Linked DNA regions of Yarrowia lipolytica. The protein of the gene in region 2 purifies or fractionates together with the protein of the main gene of each other region. This does not show direct contact. Links are inferred from orthologs where the notes say so. Each region holds a gene or a part of one and is shown on either strand. Other genes may lie near its edges.

What was found.
Region 1: the proteins of YALI1_D07981g (region 2) and YALI1_F17431g purify together in Saccharomyces cerevisiae (affinity purification with mass spectrometry; 4 studies listed by BioGRID). This does not show direct contact. The link is inferred for Yarrowia lipolytica from reciprocal best matches to the Saccharomyces cerevisiae genes EHD3 and MRP4.

Annotation. Positions count from the first base shown.
Region 1 is NC_090775.1:1,741,240-1,744,707, forward strand, and holds YALI1_F17431g (mitochondrial 37S ribosomal protein uS2m), read right to left. Parts: upstream 1,873-3,468; coding exon 589-1,872; downstream 1-588. Other genes in the region: YALI1_F17383g (uncharacterized protein), read left to right, coding at 1-223; YALI1_F17444g (uncharacterized protein), read left to right, coding at 3,198-3,206, 3,253-3,468. UniProt on the Saccharomyces cerevisiae protein: Component of the mitochondrial ribosome (mitoribosome), a dedicated translation machinery responsible for the synthesis of mitochondrial genome-encoded proteins, including at least some of the essential transmembrane subunits of the mitochondrial respiratory chain.
Region 2 is NC_090773.1:796,107-799,824, forward strand, and holds YALI1_D07981g (mitochondrial 37S ribosomal protein mS47), read right to left. Parts: upstream 1,998-3,718; coding exon 576-1,997; downstream 1-575. Other genes in the region: YALI1_D07945g (uncharacterized protein), read left to right, coding at 1-420.

The sequences.
Region 1 (3,468 bases), on a different chromosome or scaffold from region 2:
GGATCTGCTCATGACCAACGAGCTGTCCAAGGAGTACAATAACCCGCAGATCCGAATGCGACGGTACGACCGAATCAAGCCTGAGGTCGCGCAGCAGCTCATGGATATGTCGCAGACCATGAAGCAACCCCAGAGCCCCCAGATTGGAGGCGGTACACAGCAGAAGCCGACTTCGCGGTTTATGCGAATGTACAGGAATGCGTCTGGTGCACATGAGCCTTGAGCATAGCAAGATGACAGCTTATGTACTACTGAACAAGACCACGATATATAGATTAACATGTATGATATGATTGAACATCTACTTCAGTGCAGTCAACAGCGTTGTTTTCATTCCACCCCACCACATTATCGTACTACCTACTCGCACCATACTCAGACATTACAAGTATGTATTGTATCGTAGAACGGTTCCAAAGTCTTCATATTTCGATTCTCTATAGAAGAGCTCAGTACATGCACAGTCTCAATTTTGTTCTCACTACTAGTCATATATCTCGATCTGCTCGAGGGTCACAGTGTCATTCTGTTATTCAATACACTGGCATTCTCGCGAATACCTCTCATTCATGGTCTCCTATATGTACATTACTCCTTGTGGGCCTCTCCGGAGGAGAAAGGGTCCTCGGTCACGTCATTTTCATCGGCAGCCTGCACAAGATTCTTCTTCATGTGCAGAAGCTCGGCGTTTCGTCGCTGCTGCTCCTCGAACCGTCGCAGCTTGTGTCCCTTCTCGGCTGCTCGAGCCAGCACTCCAGTGATCAGATCCGTGGTTCGGAGAGAGTCATCGTTGGCGGCAATGGGGTACGACAGCTTGGAAGGGTTAAAGTTGGTGTCGGCCACTCCGACAGTGGGGATGCAGGACTTGAGACACTCTCGGATCAGAGCGGGGTTCTCGTCGGGGTTGAGGATGATAACCAGATCAGGTCGCATGTTAGGGCCCGAGATCTCTGCGTCAAACTCTCGGCCAGTGTGCTGGTTGATGTCGGCAAAGCTGGTTCCAGACTCGCCGTCCACCACCTCGTATCGTTTCCAGTTGGCGGCAATGTTGGAAAAGTTGGTGATGGCTCCAGGAATCCACTTGGAGTGCACGTAGGAAGCGCCGCATCGTCGCGACATGGCCTCGAGCGCCAGCTTCTGGCCGTCACGGGTGCCGACAAACAGAATCAGACCGTTCTGCTTGGCAACAGCCTCGGTGATTCGAGCAGCTCGTCGCAGCTGGGTGACGGTCTGCTCAAGATCAATGATGGAAATGCCGTCTCGAACGCCGTAGATGAAAGGCTGGTTGTTGACGTGACCGAGCTCGACGGCATGGCCCAGATGAGCGCCGGCAGCCAGAAGACTGGTCACGGTGGCCTCGGTGCCACTCTTGGGATGCTTGATGATATGGAGAGGATCGTAGACGCCCTTGACCTCGGCTCCCAACTTGCTGAGCATATCGTGTCGGTGCTGTCGTCGCAGAAACAGCTCCTGCTTGGTGTACTCCTCATCTCGGGCGGTTCGCTTGAGCAACGGGAAAATGGCAGCAATCTTACTCTGGTCATTACCCACTCGGATGTTCTTACTGTCGATTCGGCCCATCAGGGAAGACAGATCGGCCTGGGGGTCCCCGCCGGCAGCGGCGTTTTTGGTGCCTCTTGCCTGTCGTGCAATCTCCTTGACCTGCTCCAGCTTCTCACCGGCCTTGAGAGCCTTCTGGAACTCCTGGAACTTGGTGGACAGCTCCTGCTCCAGCTCGGGAGACAGAGGGACATCGGCAAAAGTCTCGGCGGGGGTGACCCGCAACGCTCGCAGGTAGTCGTAGGACTGGGTCTTGGAGCCGACCTTGGCGAACGGCGACTTGGTCGAGTACCGTCGGATAGATCTCAGCATGTTCGGTGGTACCCTGTTGTTTGTGCTGGTGCTGGAAAATTGGAAATTTCACCTTGCACAAAGGTAGGGTAACATTGGGAGGTGAATCAGCGACAGAGGGCTCTTGGATGTGGGGTGTGTTGAGTGCGATATTGAGGGAAAGATAACGGGGCTTTTGAAGGAAATGGAACGAACCGGTTACGTGATAGACGATGGAGGTGACCACTTGGTTTTTTTTTTTTTTTTTTTTTTTGGTTTTTTTTGATTCAAGTTGGACTGTGTTGTGTTGATATCAGGACTATTGAGAGATTCTGTATCTGCAGAATGCTGATTATGTAAGTGAGGAAGTGACCAAGTGAGAAATGAGGAAGAGAGTGATCTCAATACTGATGAGACCTTGGAGAAAAAGGGAAAAGACGTTAATCAAGTGTTGTTTCATGGGTATTGTAACTACTGATCTCGTTCTTTTGGTGATTCTCGTGGAGACCACCGTGGTAGTGACCCTCTTGCCGATCTCAATACCAATGGATGAGAGAAAACTCGTATCTAGATGGGTTTCGACAGATACTGTTGTTCAATTAGATAGGAAATGCTTGTATATTCATCTGGTTTATGAAAAACGGCTGATTGAGTGTCAATCCCGTGGTAATCAGATGTTACTGACTACATTGTTGATTCCTGCTCTACTGCTTGCCTGTAGTCTGCGATTTCACTCCAACTAAAACCTAAGTATATACAAACACTGGAATATGGCGTTGACTGCGACTACTTGACAGTATGTAAGGGAATGTGGAAATGATGTTACATTATTCGAGTAATAATGGCTTAATTGATGATTTGAGGGTCTTCACACTTCAGAAATAGTCCAATGATCCCAAATTTGAGACTCCAGACCACTTACGGCCTTAACTAAAGTCTAGTTAATTCCACGAGTGCAACATATCCCAGACATATACTGGGTCAGAAGCCGCCAAAGTGCGTTATTTGGATACCAGAATGATCGCAATGGTCCAAATAACACGCTGGTGTGGTTATAAATGCTCCCTTAGGGACTACAACTGGAGTTGTGATCACTTCCCTTATTCTGCCAGGCCGGGTAACCCCAAAATTTCACTTGAGAAAACAGACTGTTTTCAGACATGTTTATATGTACTGTATTTACGACTGTATACGACTTCTACCTACTACAACTCACAATACGGGGAGGTGCTCAACGGCCTAATGTATTATCCCAAGAGGTGCGGTTCTTTCACCTACTCCCCTTGATTAATTAACAGCATAGGTTCGGTCAGCCTACATCCTCCTGAGGAGGTTCAACTGCCTACGTCCTATTCACATTTTCCGACATGCAACATGTGTACAGCACTCTGGATGGCTGTCCGTCCGAGTTGATTGACTCAGGCTTGGATCTGGCTTTCACTGCTCTTTGGACTTACTAGCTCTGTTCTGTGGTACTGGCTCTGGCTCTGCTCTGGCTGGAGGGACGGGCGTTTGGCATTATTGCCGTGTAGGACTCATTGGCTCACTCAGACTGTTGCATTGCTCTTGACCGTGGAGGTGTCTTACGATCTTTGCTCTAGTGCGTCTCGGCTGGCTTCTCAGCGGCTTGTCGGCATT
Region 2 (3,718 bases):
ATGACCGATGAGCTCGAGTACCACAGCTTCATGCAGCACATGTACGCCTCCCGGGTGATGCGACAGGCCGTCATTCTGCTAGCCAAGAAACTGCTCAACCCAGACCTCCAGGAAACATCAGAGGAGGTTGTAGGACACGTGACCGCGGCCGTTGAGGAGCTTAAGTCCATCGAGCTCGGCTCCTACGTGTCCTGTATCATTGGCTGGGCCATGGCCATCGCCGGATGTGCCGCCACGGAAAAAACACACCGAGAGCTGTTCAAGTTCCGCGTCGAAAAGTTTGGTGAAAACTCCAGAGCCGCCATCTTCAGACAAGTTATGAAGCTTTATGGGCTGGCCTGGGGCCTGGGAGAGGACCAGAAGGAGCTGGGACTGGACATTATTTATGAGAGAGACGTGCTGGAGAGTATGGCTTTGTAGGATGGCCACCATGTATTGTACTTTAACTAATGTATTTATTCACTATTGTACTGACAATATCTTCAGTCTTGTTCAAATCATATCTTTCTTATATACACGTCATCTATGTCATTACTGCCATAGTGTACAAGCACACCGCCTACGCTCGTACTCGTCTAGTTAACCCAGTCAAGAACCTTGGGCTCGTTAGGATCAGGCTTGGTCTTTCGCTGCATCACCTCCTTGACCTTCTCGCTCACACCAGGCTTACCAGAGTACTTGTTAGTAAAGTGGTTGACAACCTCGGCAGGGGAAGCCTTGTAATCCGACGATCGGGTCTCGCCCTTGATGTACTGCTCAATTTCCACCTCTCGGGGCAAGCCAAAGTTCCAGGGGTACTGCTTGTAGGTATCGTTGATGACCACCTCCATCTCGTCGTTCTTGGAGCCGGGTCGCTTCTGGATAAACGACTTGACAATCTCGGGAGTCACGCCCTCGAAAGAAGAAGGCTCCCACTGGGGCTCTCGGGCAGGCTTGTCAATGAGCTTGGCGGTGACACCTTCAATGAACTCTCGAGAGTGCATAAAGTTCTCGGCGTAATTGCACTCATCGTTGAACACGGACTGAATGTCCTGGTTTCGGCCTCGTCGCAGAGCGGCAAGAGTCACCTTGACAGAGGTAGGGGATCGCTCGCCCAGGAGCTTGATGATCTTCTCACCAGCCTCACCCTCCTGCTTCAGAGCTGCCACAATGTCCTCAATGGCGTCGTACTTGAAGGTTCGGTCGATCAGAGCTCGGAACTCGCCGCCGTACTGGAACTTGAAGTTGGCAGGCACCTCCGAGTAGTCGTTGAGCAGTGCGTTGAGCTGGGAGTACAGCTCGGTGGCGTCTCGGCCCTTGGGGATGTCCAGAGAAGCGATGGCCTTCTCCAGATCGTCTAGTCGAGCGGAGGGGATGTAGTGGGTGGCGAAGCCGGCAGCCACAGCCTCGTAGCCCTTGAGTCGGGACGAGGTCAGAGCCAGGAAGGTTCCAAGCTCTCCGTCGAGTCGGGGCAGGAAAAAGGTGCCGCCAACGTCGCAGAAGAAACCAATTGAGGTCTCGGGCATGGCCGAGAGGGTGGTTTCAGTGGCCACTCGGAAGGGAAGGTGCATGGAGACACCCAGACCTCCACCCATGGTGATGCCATGGTTGAGCGCAATCACGGGCTTGGGGTAGACGGATAGCAGGAAGTCCATGGCGTATTCCGTGCAGAAGAAGTCTCTGGATTGCTCAATGCCCTGGGCGCCTGCAGCGTTCTGCTTGGCAAGAGTAGCCACGTCACCTCCGGCACAGAAAGCCTTGTTGCCGGAGCCCTTGAACAGCACGACATTGGCGGAGTCGGATTTGAGCCACTCCTTGAGGCGGGGGAAGATGGCTCGGCACATGGGGTCGTCCAGAGCGTTGAGTTTCTTGGGCCGGTTGAGGGTGATGGTCCGGGTGGTGCCGTTGTCGCTGAAGAGTACAGGCGACTCCTCGGCAGCCGCCGTGGTCTGTGACATGAATCGGGTGTTGATTTGAGCTCGCAGGGGCATTCTAGTTCGGGCTAGTGTTCGCAACATGTTGGGTGTGCTGGGTTAGCTTAGTCTTTTAAGGTCCCCATGTTGGGTGGTTAGGGTAGGCTGTATTGTGGTGGGGTAATCCAAGGCGGAGATAAACAGGTGAGATGGTTCGTGGGGGGCGCACAGGACATAAGCACAGACAAGAGACAGCGGTCAAACGCACCGAGTCGATTTCGCGTGCTGGTTTGTGGCCCCTGTCTGTGTCTGTCTATGCATCATTGTTCTTAGCACTGGCGTCTAGTGTCTAGTGTCAAGTAGCTAATGTGGCTTGGACCGTCCGTCTGAGTCTGAGTCTGATTGTGTCTACTCACATTGTGATGTGTGTCGCACTGTCGTGTACAAGGTCAAGTAGTGGTGGTTTGGAAACACCCCATTAAGTATCTCTGAGCCACCACCTCCCTCCCACAACTCGGCCGAACGTCGGAGCTCTCTTTGTGTCCCTTCCTGTACAGTGTGTGGGGTAGACAGACACACAGCAATGTCTCCAGGCACGGGGGTATTTGATTGAACCGGTTCGCGCAATGCGGGCAAAAAAGAGCCGACCACAATGCGACACGACACGTTTCCAGAGACTTCAGCACTTTTCTCCATCACAGCTCAATTCCGCCTCAAGATGGAGACGTTTGCAACACCAGGGGTTGTATGATGTACCACTCAATGTGAGCAGAATTGCTTTCAATCTTGCTCGTGGACTTGTATAAAGAAGATCAGAGCTGCTACCAGCTCTTTCCCTCGTTGCTCTTGTCCCTCATCCTCCTCTTTGATACTCACGCTCGGTCTGTGATCGGAGGAACAAATTATTTTACCTTTGAAGTTGATTGTGGAACTGCATCCAAATTTTACCCGTGCCCGAGAGATGGATGTGGGTTCGATTTCGGGTCGACTCAATTTAACGCGATATATTTCATGTGCGAAACAGACGAAAGATACGACGAACAAGTGAAAAGACATGGGAAAGACGTTGAAAAGTAACATCAAATTACTGCAACACATCAAACGACTGAATTTCTCTACCGTTGTTGAGGTCATTTGGCCATACCTCCTCAATCAATGGGCCTAAGAAGACACCAGAAATCTCTGAAAAAGGACCTTACAACTCTGAAATTTGAACTGAAAAGAACACAATTGTACAAGATACAAAATTTCCATCGTTCAGGACTTTAACCTCCTCAACACCCCCATTCAATCGCCCATTACAATCACACCTCGTATCAATCACTGCTCCACTCTTACTATACAAAACCTTGGGAGAGCACAAACCAAGAGCAATTCGACAAACCGAGAGCAATTCGACACTATAAGTACGGTAAACACAGAGTCGTTGCGCTTCCACACGGTCCCTAAAGACCCCAGATGTCTGATAGTGTCTTCAGGTCCGTCCAGCCCAACCTCACAATGTCGTCCAGAACTCGTTCAAATGAGAATATTCCAGACTGGAACCGGGAATGTGCACTTTCAAAGCCAAATTAAACTGACAGTAAGAAGCTCAGCCTGTTCGTGATGGTCCAACTACCTCATCAAGGGACCTCCATGGTGACATTCATTTATAGCCGATTGATTAGTCAGCGAGAGTTTAATACCTTTTATGGTTCTCGGCTCTCTCTCTTTTGTTCCGTGGAAAAGAGGACTTCAAAATAGGCATGCTAGGTCCGTTTTCGACGCAAAAAAAGTACATGAATATGTTCAACAGGCGACAACAATTATATGTACACGTTTAAATC